Linked DNA regions of Rhinolophus ferrumequinum. The protein of the gene in region 2 binds, or shares a complex with, the protein of the main gene of each other region. Links are inferred from orthologs where the notes say so. Each region holds a gene or a part of one and is shown on either strand. Other genes may lie near its edges.

Region 1 (7,990 bases), on a different chromosome or scaffold from region 2:
GATACATAAAGCAACTGAGGCACACAGAGAGGACAGGGACCTACCACCATCAAAGGGCTAACAAGTGGCTGGGAGACCAGAGTCATTGGCCAGGACTTCTTTTAGTTCCCTTCACACTGACAGTGTGAAAAACAGCAGCACCCCAAACTTTATCAAGATCCCCAGACTGCTGGTACATGGGCCACATTAGTCTGCAATACCAGTTTAAGCCCTGGATCCTCTTGTTTTCACAGTGCCTGAAAGTAGTCAACAAAGAATTTAAAGGGCTATGAAAAGCCTTCATACTTGGCACACAGTCAAGCCAACAGCAGGTTCTTACTAAATGAGTGATAACCAGTAATAGAAATTTAGGATGTGGATTAGAGGTCATCAGAGGAAAGGAGCTGCTTTAGAGGCAGAATAGCATAGTTATAAGAGCAAGCACTAAGGAGGAAATCTGTGACCTTTTCAACTTCTACGACCACTCTGTGCCTCGGTTTCCCCACAACAGGGATAATACATAGGGTTGCTAGATAGATTGAGTATGTGTAAAACCCCTATTTAATTGCTCAATCAAGGCTTTAATGTTATTACCATTGCAACTGCTCTAAGACAACTGGCCCTACCATTACCAGTACTGTATAGTATGACGTGCTATGAGGTTGGCAATCAAAACGCATCCAAAGGAGTTTCACCAGCAACCAGAGTGTAACACAGAACTCTTTACAACTCCTTTAGAGACAGAATTAGAGGGAGGTCTACTGCTGATAGCACTGCAATTTTTAAAATATGTAAACCTCCACCTTGTTTTGCCAATTGTCGGAGCCAATCATGCAACCACTCAACGTGAGGTCATAGCAATGAATTTCTACATTGGCAAGAGGTATCTGAAGAAATAACTCAAATCCACACATCAATCACATAGTTTTCAAGTTGTCTCCTAAGCTGGAAAATGAAAAATAGTTGTCTTGTTTAGTTAAAGACAATAGTCGTTTAATGAGATGTTCGCTGCACCCTACTGTATACACTTTATGGGCAGAATGACTCTAGCATGTATCAGTATATCCTTGGGTGAGATTGTGCAGACCAAAGTGAAGAATCCAAAAAAAAAAAAAACAAAAAACAAAAAAAAAACCCAAGTATCCAAACATCCCCGGAAAAAGAAATTTCTTTAGATGGTTTATGTTCTTCCACTTTTCTGATTCAGATGTACCCTAAAACACTTTTTTCCCCCACAGAGAACAGAAACACTGTGTTCTCAGTTTCAACTTTAGTTTCATCCTTGACAAAACAAAAATGGGAATGTACCATGTAAATTGGCTGCTGATCCTTCATCTTTTCCAGAAGCTTTACTTCAGAATTTTCAGCCATTCTAAATGATATATACCGGCTTCCCCCAAAATAAGATGTAGCTGGACCATCAGCTCTAATGTGTCTTTTGGAGCAAAAATTAATGTAAGACCCGGTCTTATTTTACTATAAGACTGGGTATAATATAATATAATATCAGTCTGGGTCTTAGATTAATTTTTGCTCCAAAAGACACTTTAGAACTGATGGTCCAGCTACATCTTATTTTCAGGGAAACACGGTATCAAAAAGGTGGAGGTAGTGTTCTAAACTCAGATCGAAGATTAGACTTGTTAATAGAATGTTGATCCCATGAGTAATGCTCACAGCTGTGGCATCCAACAATGGAATTAACATTTCAACAGGAAGTAGAGAGCCATCCCAACAGAAAGGGCCACCTCATCCTGCTTTGGAGCACTTTAGAAATTATCCTTCCGGAGGATACACAAAGTGTGTCTCCTAGGGTCCCCACCTATGGATTTTTTTTTTCTTTAACGAATCATTTAGGTAAAAAAATGAGACAAGGGCTTACTCTGACAAACAACATTAGTTGGTTAAAAAACTGACAAGGAAATAGATCAGTCTTTTAAAGTACCAAGGATTATGCTTTCTAATGGTCCACGCGTTTTTTTAAATGGCTTCTTTTCCCTCCAGAGAAAGGCGCAGTGGAAAAATGGGCTTGGAGAATCCTTTAGGAATTACCCTGTACACGTCATCCCGTCTTATCTTCAAAAGGAACCACCTCCTTATATACTCAAAACCCATGTTACGAATTTCTCCTTCGCACTTTGCACCCGGAACTGCGGAAATCAATACTGCATTTCTGCAGGCACCTACTCTTGATTTCCCAAGGTCTACTCCGAGTTACCGTCTAGCTGGCAGCTCGCGCCTGGGCTAGCCTCTCCGACTAGACCAGGAGCGGGAGCCTTCCCGTTCTTTCAGCGCCTCTTTCCTAGAGGTAGCCTGGACGATCTCAGGCACTGAAAAGCTCAGTGTCCATTTAATCATGGCGTTTGTAATTCGGTCTCCTCGCTTGGACTGCTCGACACCTGAAAACTCGCCGCCCAAGGCTTTTGAAATCGGATAAACCCGGACGGACACTACACCGCGGCTAACAAGGGAAGAGCAAGAGCAAATAAAGCAAAGCCCGGACCGGCGGCCAAGAATGGAGTGGGGGAGATGCCAGGTGCACCCCGCACGCCGCGCGGGGGAGGCCCCTCCACCGCCGCCCCTTATCTCGGGGCTCGGTCCCTAGCTCAGCCCCCGCCCCCGCCCCCGCTCCCCGGACACCCCACGCCCCCGCATGGCTCCCTTCCGAGCCGCTCCGCCTTCGCGGCTCGCGCACCCGGCCGGGCAAAATCACCCCATACAATTCCACCCGCACAACCACGACAGCCGCAAAGCCCCCAAATCGCACCCGTCCTCTCCCCGCCCGCCCGCCCCCTCCCCCACGCCTCATTGTTCCCGGGTGGCCGCAGGCGGCGAGCGCCCCGGGTCTGACCAGTCAATGGGGACACTAGGGATAGAATTGCTCACACTCACCAGCAACTCCACACAGGAGGAGGAAGAGCAGCAGAAGCCCCATGGTGGCGGCGCGGCCGTGGGCGGCGACTGCAGGTAGGGGGATCTCGCCCGGGGTCTGTCTCCCGGCGCCTCGCGCGCTCCCGACTGGCAGGCAACTGCGGCACCTCGGCACCCCAGCCCCACCCCGCCCTCCTTCGCTCGGCAGGTGAAACGCGTCACTTCCGGCAGTGGCTCGGCCGCGCGGGCGCGTGGGGTTGCCATGGCAACCGCGAGCCGGTCGCTGTGCGGGGAGCTCCTCGGCGGGCGTGTGGTGCTGGGAGCGGTGGCTCTCCGCGGCTACTCGCGCCAAGCCCGAGCCTGCGTCCCCGCCCCCATGCCTTCGGTTAAAGCAGAGTTTGTGCACTACGGTCGGGCCCGCCCCTCTCCAGACAACTAAAATTGCGGTCACGCCTTTGCTTCAGGGCGCGCCAGCGGACAATACTCGTCCGCCTGCCGCAGGGACCTGAAGTGCGGCTCTAGCATTTGGCTGCCCGCGCTCACCCCTCCCTTCTCTTAGGGTAGGAGTGGGTGGGGCGTCTCCAGCACGCGTCCCGCCTGTGAGGGTTTGCTGCGCTGCTCGGAGCGGCCGCCTAAGGCTCTGGGGAAGGGCACTAACCCCCAGCATTTGCTTCGGTCTCATTGAGTCGGATGGCCTGATGGAGAAGGCTTGAGAATGCTTTTCCTCATTTCCAGTAATGACTGAACCCCTAAACTGCCGCTACGGACTTGGGCAATACCCAGACTGGCTTTCCTCGCCTTGAATTTAAAGGTTATTCTGGCCCTGAAATTGGCCAACAAAGACCAGTGAGCTGGGAAAGTGGGGCTAAGTGAGGATATTTAAAGGCTTGGGGTAGGAGGTTTGGGGGACCGGGGAATTAGAGATCGTGAATCACCGGGTGCAATGTCCCTTCTTCCTCCTGGTGCCCTCCACACGTGTTCTCATTTCATTTCCCTGCGTGTACTCAGTTGCTCAGGTAGGTTTATTTATAGCTGCCGATTCACCTGTGTTTCCCATCTGTTCCATATCAGGCATGAATTAGAGGAGAGAAGCAGCGTTACGCAGTGGGTAAGTTTTTGGGCTCCGAAATGAGTCAGTAACTGGGCAAACTATTTAGAAACAGCTCCTACCTCTTGGGTAGCTATGAAAACTAGATGAGATAATGCAGGAAAGAATGGTTGGCACCATGCCTGGCACAATAGTAAATAGTAAAGTGGAAGCTAATGAAATTAATATTGGAAAATTCTTATTTATTGAACCAGAAAAATCAGTTATCAGGAAAACCAAAACTGCCCAACTGCAATTTAGCTTGTAGTGTGCAAAAATACCACTACCTGAGCCCCACTCCAGAGATGCTGATTTAACTTGTGTAGAGTGGAATCCTGGCTGATTTAAGAAGAGTTCAGAGTAACCACTAGGGACTTCCTATTAGCTGAAGAAACAGGAATTCTACTGGATATAAATGAAGATATAAAATATTTGGAACCTAAATTTTTACTCACCACATTATACTTTATGAAATTAGAGATTAAGCATTGAAGTTGTTCATATCTATTTCAGACTATTTTATGATAACTTTTCTAGTACTAATCACTAAAAAGTAGCACACATTTGTTATAAAATTGCTGCCGTGAGTGTCTTTTCCACTGGGTTGAAATTAAACCCATTCTACAGGGGTCATCTCAACCACATATTAGAGGAAACCTTTAGAAATTTCCTAAAAGGATATTCATCTTAATTCTTTTCCTTCTGGAACTTTTTTTTTTTTAACATTCCTTACATTTTGCCTCCTGTGGTAGGTATTTTCATGTCTATCAATCACTTCTCTTACTCTTAATCTTTCTAGAAGGCCAAAAAGGCACTCTTGGAAGTGCAACCCATAGTAGATTCTGTAGTATTTGTTGAATGTAAAATATTTAATTCATGTATTAATATATCGACATATATTGATAAAAAAGTACCTCCCAAATCATTACATCTTAATATATCTTTTTAGACTGTACTTTTAACAATGTAAATTTTACAAAATTAAGGTTTTATGCTTCTTTAGGTTATACTTCCAAATGTATCATCTCTAAGAATTAAGTAACTTTGAAAGGAGCAGTTTAATCTTTTTTAGGGAACTATTCTTTTTTAAAAATTATATTAAAGCTGGGGGAAAAATGGGGAAAAGTGATATGTAGTCATCTTTGGACTTTGGTTGTGACTACATTATTTCATATAAACAGTAGCTAAAATTATGCAGTTATCTGAAACTTTTTTTTTTTAATAATGTTTTTGAGATTCATCTCCTTTTTTTTAAATTGGGGAACAGCGTGTTTCTCCAGGGCCCATCAGCTCCAAGTCGTCCTTCAATCGAATTGTGGAGGGCACAGCTCAGCTCGAAGTCCATTTGCCGTTTTCAATCTTTAGTTGCAGGGGGCGCAGCTCGCGCTGTATCCAACTAAGCCATCCGGCTGCCCCTGAAACTTCTTAACAACACCTTTAAAAGCCTTTGTAGCTATTGTAAGTTTGTCAATTGTCTCCTGGAAGCTGTAATGAAATAATCTCATTAATTCTGGAATGTACAAATTGTTGATTGTTTGGCATCTTCAAACCAAGGTAACAAATAGTGCACAATCATTAAATGACTTGCCCTATCTTGGCAAAACACCAAGCACTCCACATTATATAGCCTTTAAACCAGCAGAAAGGTGGTTCTTGGCCCCTCAAAGAAGGTGATAATTAATTGTAGAGACATAAATAATTCTATGGCTAATATAGCATCTGTCCTTACAAAGATTTCTCAGCAGTAATGGATTTTTCAACACACCTACAGATGATTCAAATCCTATAATCACATTCAGAGATTGACTTACACTTAAGAATTAAAGGATTCTCACCTCTTATCATCCTGGAATATGAAGGCATGTGAAGCAAGAAACTTTCTTTCATATGTGACACTGCTGATTTTTATATTTTCTGGAAAATAGTAATGCTAGTATCAAGGAGTGAAGGTTCCTCACGAGTGTGTCCCTATATTACCAACACCATTGGTTTTAAATATTTTTTGAGGTGGGAGGATGGTTGATACCATCCCAGTCTTCTATGTGCCGCTAAGGAAATGAACTTATAAACACATACATTTTTATAATAGTTTTATGCCATATATATAATATTTATAAGTCAACCCTTAGCCAGTGACCCAGAACTTTGTTTAAATTCCTAATAATGTGGATTCCAAATGAATAGACAAAAGTGATCAATTTATACGGACCAAAATTGAGGATTTTACTGATGGTCTTTTAAAATGTTCTTATCTGGGGCAGCCGGTTAGCTTAGTTGGTTGGAGTGCAGTGCTCATCACCAAGGTTGCCGATGTGATCCCGACATGGGCCACTTTGAGCTGCACCCTCCTTATAAAAAAAAACAAAAACGTTCTTATCCAAAAATGAATCTTGTTTCTTCCAGTTGCTTTCTTCTTCGTTTCTTCTCTGTCAGATGAGCTCCATCACTCTCTTCTCTTCTCAATCGCCCTCTAACACTCCTGTTCTATGAGCTGTACAGAGAAATCAAACCACATCTTCCTTCGTTGGTGACCCCCCAGGTTTTTTCACTTAGCTGCTCCACTCAATTTGTTGAATCACTTGAAAAACAGCATCTGGGTAGAAAAATTAAATTGTCAGGCATTTCCTCAGCAACTTTTCCTCAAAATATCTAAATTAGGGCATTTCCAAGGTCTCATTTTGACTTTCAGGGGACCTATGAACTTTTGCCTTTGTGGACCTCTTTCACCTCAAAAAATATTTAAAACTGTCTTTTACGACTGTGTTGGTATAAAGGCAAATTTAATCCAGGCTGGATCATATTATTATTTCTTTTGATTCTAAAAGAAATGAAAATGTTTTCATAGGCTCTGGATCAATTGCTCTGGGCGTTGCTTGTCTCCCTTCCTCCCCTAATCTAAGTTGTTCTGGTGATACTAATAATATTAAAGATTTTCCTCCGAAAGGGAAGGAAAGGAGTGACCTTATAAATTTCCCTCTCATCTCTGTCTCTATGTCACCTCTTTTGCCCAAAGTCCCCTTTCTTATAGTGTCTTCATCTCCAGTCCCTTTCCTTTTCTTCTCTTTTCTTCTTAGGCCAAAAACAATCCACAAAGTACTAAATTTGCCCTGTGCTAAAGATAAGAAAGACACAGGTACATACCTAGGCATGAAAATTTATTGCTTGTCTTACTTAAGCTCTTTCTTTGTTTCCACAGTTCCATAGTTTGTATTTTGGCTTTGAGATGTTTTGTTTGCCCGTTTGTGTATAAAGAAATAGGACTGGTAGAATAAACCCAGAGCATATATCCTCTTTCTAGGATTTTACGCTAACTTTGATGATGACCTTTAGAAAGAAAATTAAACTGAACTCTGTCATGATCCTCAGGAAGAAAGAATTACAATGTCTGGTGTCTGTGGCGTACATATAGGTTGTTTTGAGAATACATGACTTGCACAGTGCTCTGGGCATTTTAGATCAAAGATGCTGTGCTTACCTAGTATTCAACCCATTTAATTCATACCCAGACAATAAATTTAAATATTACAGAAGTGGATGGAGCCTCCATCTACTTTATATCTTGCTGGTTTCTTTTTGGCTGGAGACAGCTTTCCATCTGATAGGTAATAACAATGCTTTCCATTTATAGATCGTGTAACATCTTTTATCCAAGGAGTTCAAAGAACTCAGCAATTATGACTCACTGTTCCTTAAGATATCTCTACAAAGCTCGAGATGACACACATTGTGATAAACTGGTAATAGGTAAAGAAACTGGAGTCACGGAGATGTTAACGTGTTCATAAGGTATTTTAAGAGACAGAGGTGGAATTCCGAATAAGTCCCCCTTTCTTTGGATTAGACCATAATCAGTAGCATATATTCCCTTCCCATGAAGATATATTCTTCAGGGGCTTCAGTTTTGTTTATGATGAAGGTAATACTTCTTGACTCGGAGGAGTTTAGCTTTCACATACCTCTCTAAGCTCATCCCATACTCCCTACCCACCCATGCCTACGGCCACTTTGTAGATGCTGTCTCTCCCTTCTGCCTGTAATATTTGACCTTCTCAA
Region 2 (7,501 bases):
GATGGTTTCCTTTGCTGTGAAAAAACTTTTTAGTTTGATGTAGTCCCATTTATTTATTTTTTTCTTTTGTTTCCCTTCCCCAAGGAGATACAGCAATAAAAATATTACTAAGGGTAATGTCTGAGAATTTATTGCCTATGTTTTCTTCCAGGAGTGTTATGGTTTCAGGTCTTACATTTAAGTCTTTAATCAATTTTGAATTCATTGTTGTATATGGAGTAAGAAGGTGGTCCAGTTTCATTTTTTTGCATGTGTCTGTCTAGTTTTCCCAGCACCATTTATTGAATAGACTCTCTTACCCCAATGTACATTCTTGCTTCCTTTGTCATAGATTAAATGACCATATAGGCATGGATTTATTTCTGGGCTGTCTATTCTGTTCCACTGATCTATGTGTCTGTTTTTATGCTAATACCATGCTATTTTTATTACTATGGCCTTGTAGTATATTTTAATATCAGGTAGCATGCTACCTCTAGCTTTGTTCTTTTTCCTCAAGATGGCTATGCTATTCGGGGTCTTTTATGGTTCTATATACATTTTAGGATTATTTGTTAGTTCTGTGAAAAATGCCATTGGTATTTTGATAGGGATTGCATTGAATCTATAGATTGCTTTGGGTAATAAGGGCATTTAAACTATATTAATTCTTCCTATTCATGAGCATGGTATATACTTCCATTTATTTGTATCATCTTTAATTTTTTCTTTAATCAATGTCTTGTAATTTTCTGAGAAGACATTTATTTTTAATGAAACAGAATCCACTGGAGGTTTTTGACAAGAGAAGCACTATGAACTGATGTATGTGTTAAAAGGATCATTTTAGCTTCTGTGTTGAAAATAGACGGTAAGGGACCTTGAGAGAATCAGAGAACTCAATTAGGAGACTTTAGCAATAATGCCATTGAGAGAAGTTAGTGTTAGTTTGGATCAGGGTGGTGGTGGTAGAGGTGGGAAGATGGGGTTGTATTCTGATTATAGTTTGAAGGTAAAGCCAGAAGGATTTACTGATGGGTTGCATGTATATGAGTATGTTAAAGAATGAGAGGAGTTTCGGGCGGCCGGTTGGCTCAGTTGGTTAGAGCGCAGCCCTTGTGACACCAACGTCGCCGGTTCAATTCCCACGTGGGCCAGTGAGCTGTTCCCTCCACAAATAGAGTGAAAACAACGGCTTGACTTGGAGCTGAGCTGCTGGTGGGTGGCCGGTTGGCTCAATTGGTTAGACTGCAGTGCTCATAACATCAAGGTTGCTGGTTTGATCAACTAGATTGAAAACAACGACCTGACTTGGAGCTGATGGGTCCTGGGAAAACACACTGTTCTCCAATATTCCCCAATAAATGTGTAATGTGGGATGTATAAAATGGGATGGTAATGTGTGACTTTTGGCTAAATTCTGACTGTGGCAATATACTTCACATATACATCACATACACACAACTACTGTTCTTTCTCCTCCAGGATTCAGACTATGAAGAGACATACTGATGAAAATCTGCGTGACATTAGAAGAATCACCTACTAACAGAAAATATCTCATTCCACTGGCAGCTAAATCTTCTCAAAGAAGTGGAGCTGGCCTGGACAGTAATGATGGAGGTTTCTGAAAGTCATAAGTAAAGACTTTAGGAACCATTTATTTATTGAAGAAATGTTCTTTTTGTATTAATAAACTGTTCAAAAGCTTTCAGAGGAGACTCATACCTATCCCTTTTAATAACTTATACTCTAATTGAATGAAGGCATTCTTTTCCTGAACAGAAAGATACTTTTTATTTGATCTTTGCTCTTGAATGTATTACATGTTTTCTTCCAATTATTTGAGGAAGAATTGGCCACACTTCTGATGCCAAACTTATTATTATTATTTTTTTTAATGAAATGGAGCTTGTAGCTTCTTGATGTGCTTGCTACCGGATAAAATGTTTGGAATAAGGATTCTTAGTTTTTTTGCTCCGTGAACATTTTCATCTGTGAGTTAGCACACAGCATATATTCATTGGTTTGATTATCTCATTGATTATGTTCGAGTTTCTTGGAGTGTATAACACTAGTTTCCTTAGAGCTGGTAGGATCAAGAATCAGTGGTTTGCTTTGATTGGGTTTTTAAAGTATTAAAGTGTCATCAATTTACAACTAAGGAAAGGAAGTGTGAGGTACAGGTGCAATTTGCCAGGTGCAATTTGTTACTTTACTTTCTTAAAGCTAACTGATTAATGGTTTCCTTCTTGACTTTTCAGATCAGAGGCAAGAACTTTTCAAAAGGTTTTGTATGGATATATAGACTATTTTACTAATTATTTGCAGTGAAATGCTTTTTTAACCTGTGTTATTCTTCAGAAATTTTTTGACTCTAAAATGTACCAAATATCAGTGAACTGAGGTATTTACAAACTGTTTTTGCATAACACTTGAGATAAGGAAGTGATGTTGTGCATCACCTATACTTTTCCTTTCTGGTCTCTCAATACTTTATATCAGTTTCCTCTATTTTCCTACAGCAACCTATTTCAAATTTTGATTTATATGGGAATTTCTATAAGCCATTAAGAAATATATATGACATGTCAGGAAGGGTTGACAATGTAGTCCTCTGTACTAGAGTGATAAAGTTCACTTCTCAATTATGAGAGACAAAAGTTATTCCCTCCCCCCAGCTTTGTTTTTTCAGTAGGATAGTCCCTTTTCATGGATCTTCACTAGGTGGCTCAGGAGGTTTCCATATTACAGCATTATACATTGTATATGTTATTAAAAAACAACTTTTACATTTTTTTGCCAACATCTATTTTTAAAAATTTGGGTTGTTAGCTCTGTCTCATGGATTTGCCCTGGCCTCTTTTAACCTAGTCTGTAGATTAGAGATTCTGATTAGTTAATAGACATGACTTACCTCTAGTCATGGAAAAAAGTAGAAGAGGCACGACAGGATTGGCAGTTTACATTTCCAGTGGTTAAACCTCACAGTCTTGGGCTACTTGTTAAGTATGTGGTTGTCTGGCGTCAATCTTTTGGGCCAATCTGGCACCTCAACAGAGACAAGAAAGCAGTTTGAGCGACGACAATAAATAAATTGGGTGCTAGGAGATTTGAAGATAGAGATCTAATTGTGAAGCAGAGTTTTTTTGGGTCCCCATTTATCTGAGAAAGCGATGAAGTTACGGGAAGCCAGTGAAAGCCACATCCCATTAAATGGGGAAACAGTTTTAGCTAGGTTTGCTTGTAATTTCCTTTCGGGCATGTTTTGAGGATTAATACTGTGTGGTATGTTTGTCACTTTAGGCATATGGTGCTGTGTGAATCCTTAGTAGTGTAATTTTGTAGACTTGATCATGATTTGAACCAGTCCTTTTAAAATGACTGAACAATAGAGTCCTTCATGGGAGGAGACTAAGTTGATAATTTAGTCTTGCTCCGTGGGTTTGTGTTCACGTCACAGTCATAAGGCTGCTATCAGTTTTCTTCTTCATCGCTTATGTTGAGCTCTTCTTCTTCTTCAAAGGAGCACAAAGCTGTGTTTGGACACCTGCTTTCTTGAAGGATGGAAGGAAGATAAAGTGTGTGTGTGTTTTTTAACCGTCTGTTTTAATATCTTCTAAGGTGCTATTCTCTATTTTTCTTTTCGCTGCTCCACGAGTTCTTATCACACTGTATGGAGACCAGCCTTGTCTAGAAAGGGAATTTAATTCTGAAGGCTTCAGAAGGGCTTAAAAGCCTTTCAGAATATTTCTTCGACTGCTGAAGTCTTTACTCATGGTTACATTACTTTATGAGTTTTGTGCATCGAGCTCTTAATTCTGTTACCAAATGTGAACTTTCAAAATGCTTTGTGTTTCCCACGTGGCCTGTTACCTCAGGCTTCTTTGGGAACAGCTTCTCTGCAGATCCCAAATTGGGCACTGGTGCTTTACAAGGGAACGTTGCATGTCCCTGCTTTAAAAAAATTCTGGAGGCCAAATCCTGATTCTGAATGCTCTGTTGTGTCACTCAGTTATGGTTTCATCGGGGAGCCATAAAAAGATCCATAGGGAATGGACCAAGACTATCATTTAATTGCACAACTCAAAACTTGCTGCCAGAAAAGGCAGCTTTGGTCTTTTGACCCCAGTGTTGTACTGCTCGATTGTTAATTGCTGCGTTTCACTGCGTTCTTTTTGTTTTTTTTTTCTAGGAGGATATGCACTGTTGGGCCATGTTCACAAGCATTGTAACTCTTGATATTTTTACCATAACATACTTAATAAACATCTTTGCACTTTCTGGCTACTTTTGGTGTATATCTACCTATAAGATGAGAACTGTCATATGAAAAGAGGTTTGTGGTTTTCAGCATCAAGCAACCATCTATTCATCTTGGAGCTGTACCCCAGCAAGAACCTGCATAGATTCAGTAGTGTACTGGAGCCAGATCACACAGCAAGAGCTCATTGTTAAATATTTAGGAATTTTGCAATTCTTGGTTGTTAAACTGTTGGTAGCTTGCAGTGTGCCATGGTGGGAGTATTTATTTAAATTGCTGGCTTACCAGCACACCGCTTCTCAAGAATCATGGAGCATAGTCTTTGAGAAGAGCAAGCATTCAACAACTTTTCAAATGATACAGGTCAAGTTACAAAAAACAAGCATGCCCATGTGTATGTAGGTCAAGCCAATCCAGCCAAGGTTAGAGGTGTGTACATTGAGAACACTTATTTTGAAGTGGTGACTTAAAAGCCAAAAATACCTTGAAGTGAAGAAGCCTTGAGTTCTTACCTAGGATGTCTAAGTCACCTAAGGGATTCTCTGGGGGAATAAAAATGCTACTTATATTCTGGAAATGCTGATACCATACTGTCAGAGGAAATTGAAATGTCTACGTGATGAGTTGGAGGACTGAGGAGGCATATCTGTGGAAGCAGGAATTGGGGGATTGCCTGGCTCTTATTTTGAAAAATAAGAATGGTTGCTATAGTTTAAACACAGGGTACAATGCTTTGTGTTAATCTTAAATTTACTGTATTTTGTTTGCATGAGGCAGATTTCTTTCTCAGCAAATGTTTGCCTGATGCCCTTGAAGATCCCACTCGCGGAGAGCTTGTACTCCAGAAGGGGAGTTGATACCTGCAGAGGTCTGGAATATGAGGTTCTCCTCAGTAAGTTGGCTTTATTACCTCTTTTTACAATGAAAGTATTAATAAAGATTGGGTAATGGGCCAGATAACTGAAACGAGAACCTAAATTCAGAGGTTCCTGTTTGTGTCTCTGCAGCCACCTCAGAACACACGCATTTGGTTTGCTCTGAGCCTGACCCTGCGCTGGCAGAAGTCTCTGCAGTCGGACTTGAGAACTGCAGTTGTGGGAGAGTTCAGTGCATTGCTTCTCTTCATCTTGGGTAAGCAGTTGCTTTGTATTTCTTAAGTAGTGATTTGAACTTTTCTCTCTTAGAGGAAGGCTGGTTCTGAAAGTGTTAATTTAATGGCAATCCTTTTGTATCGTGAGGCCACAATCACGGAACTCTCGATCTCTGCAGGAGGGCTGTCATAAGGTAGTCTAGTGGGTGCAGTTTTCCTTTCTGTAGTGCAGAGTAACTGGTGATCCTCAGAGAAAAGAGTAAGATTTGCTGTTAATAAAAGAGTAAATGATGATGATGATGAGAAGGCTTTTGCTTTTAACTTGCCTGTGGCTTTAGGTAGAGCTGTGACTAGCTGTCCTTGAACTCATGGCAAGAGTCTTCCTTCGCTGTTTCTCTTCTCCCAATCCTATATAGGCTAATACTTAACCTGAAGAAGTGAGGAACTTAAACCTTCTACTAGAGCAAGGCTATTGTCCATACTTGTCACATCCTCTGCATAACCCTGATCTCAGGAAAGAATGATGTAGAATGGTTCAGGTGTAACCTGGTCAGAAGGAGTGAGAAGGAATACTGACTTCCAAGGTAGTCTTCAAGTAAAGGGTTGAACGATGTGAACTAGACTGTGTTACAAGAAGCCATGTAACCTACCAGTCTGTATTAAATGGTCTTGGAAAGAAAAATGAGGACTTATTTTAAGAAGTTCATGATGCTTCAGAATGGTTATATGGACTTGTATACCTAAAAACATCGCAGACCCCAGAGGTACACAGCCATGTGTAAATTGAGGGAACACAGACAGCACTCTAGGTGGAGCAGGCTGTGTGAGTAAGGGAAGGCTGTGCAGTTGTGTTTGCTCAGTGGTTGGTTGTCATTATTAGGGGCAGACACTTTTCTGAGGCAGCACCTCTCTCTTGTCTTGTAATATTGTGATATGTGGGGGTCATTTTCACATTTTGTGTGGTACTCTCATTGTCAAGAGTCTCTTTTCTGAAGATTTTGTTCTGTGTTTATTGTGCCAAGGATAACAGTTCCCCAACACGATTAATAATAGGAAATCCTGATAGTTACAGCTCCCCAGGAGTGATAGAAGATATTTGCCAGGAATTATGAAAGAGGCATGAGCTCAGGTCAAAACGTTTGGCCAACGTGTGCGATAAATTACTATGTAGAATTATCTCAAGAACATCTGCCGAGGAGATAGTTCAGTACGTAAAGAAGGAAGCAGGGTCGAAGTTGAGAATTCAAGTAGTCTATTATTATCAAGGTGCAGCTGAAATCTTTGATTGTATTTTTAAAGACTGAGATTCATTTTATATACAGTAAGTCCTCACTTAATTTCGTCCATAAGTTTTTGGAAACCGGGACTTTGAAGGAAACAATGTACACCAAAACTGATTTTACCATAGACTAATAGATATAAACGAGGAATTTCTGAATATTTGCCAACTAACTAGGAAATGGAAATTGAAACTTTACTAGAGTGTTTTTGGCCCTGTTAGGTGTTATTAATTCATGTGACAGGTGGTTGCTGGGGCTCAGCCTGCGCCTTACTCCGAGCTGGCACTAGAGATGCAGAGGCATATAGTCAAAGCTCTTGGCCTCATGGAGCTTATAGTCTTGGAGGGGTGAGGGTGGAGAGCAACTTTAATCAAACAAGCACACAAGTAAATAGATAATTAAAAATTGTGTGACCAGTGCCCTAAAGGAAAGGTAAACAGTACTATTAAAACATGTGCCTGGTTGGGCGGCTGGTTGGCTCAGTTGGTTAGAGCGCAGTGCTCATAACACCAAGGTCGCCAGTTCGATTCCCGCATATGCCAGTGTGCTGCACCTTCCGCAACTAGATTGAAAAAAAACATGAAAAACAAGACTTGACTTGGAGCTGATGGGTCCTGGAAAAACACATGTTCCCCAATATTAATAATGTTCCCTAATAAAAATATTAAAAAAAAACCAAAAACATGTGCCTAGGCACCTGACCTAGGAAGGGTGGTTCAGGAGAAGTTTCCCTGAGGAAATGACATTTAACTTGAGATCTAAAAGATGAACAGTGAAAGGGGCAGGCAGACCATTTAGTTAGGGGGAGCAGATTAATCTTGTTTTGACAAATGAAGTTCAGAGAAGCTTTCCCCTAAAACATTGGTTACTTTCACAAATATGGAGGAG

What was found.
Region 1: the proteins of JAML (region 2) and CXADR are in contact, whole or in part, in a crystal structure (PDB 3MJ7), measured with the Mus musculus proteins. The link is inferred for Rhinolophus ferrumequinum from reciprocal best matches to the Homo sapiens genes JAML and CXADR. Residues at the interface, in NP_001005421.3 of Mus musculus: Arg57, Asp59, Ala69, Tyr72, Phe75, Tyr77, Leu80, Val82, Glu120, Arg122, Ser127, Met128, Val129, Met130, Lys131; in NP_001020363.1 of Mus musculus: Thr23, Gly51, Pro52, Asp54, Glu56, Leu58, Ser60, Gln65, Ile66, Val67, Asp68, Gln69, Val70, Leu73, Tyr83, Lys121, Lys123, Lys124, Ala125, Pro126, Gly127, Val128, Asn130.

Annotation. Positions count from the first base shown.
Region 1 is NC_046285.1:87,474,312-87,482,301, reverse strand, and holds the start of CXADR (coxsackievirus and adenovirus receptor), read right to left. Parts: upstream 3,086-7,990; 5' UTR 2,915-3,085; coding exon 2,872-2,914; intron 1-2,871. UniProt on the Homo sapiens protein: Component of the epithelial apical junction complex that may function as a homophilic cell adhesion molecule and is essential for tight junction integrity.
Region 2 is NC_046294.1:87,587,246-87,594,746, reverse strand, and holds the start of JAML (junctional adhesion molecule-like), read left to right. Parts: upstream 1-4,401; 5' UTR 4,402-5,135; intron 5,136-5,250; 5' UTR 5,251-5,374; intron 5,375-7,501. Other genes in the region: MPZL3 (myelin protein zero-like protein 3), read left to right, coding at 1,465-1,491. UniProt on the Homo sapiens protein: Transmembrane protein of the plasma membrane of leukocytes that control their migration and activation through interaction with CXADR, a plasma membrane receptor found on adjacent epithelial and endothelial cells.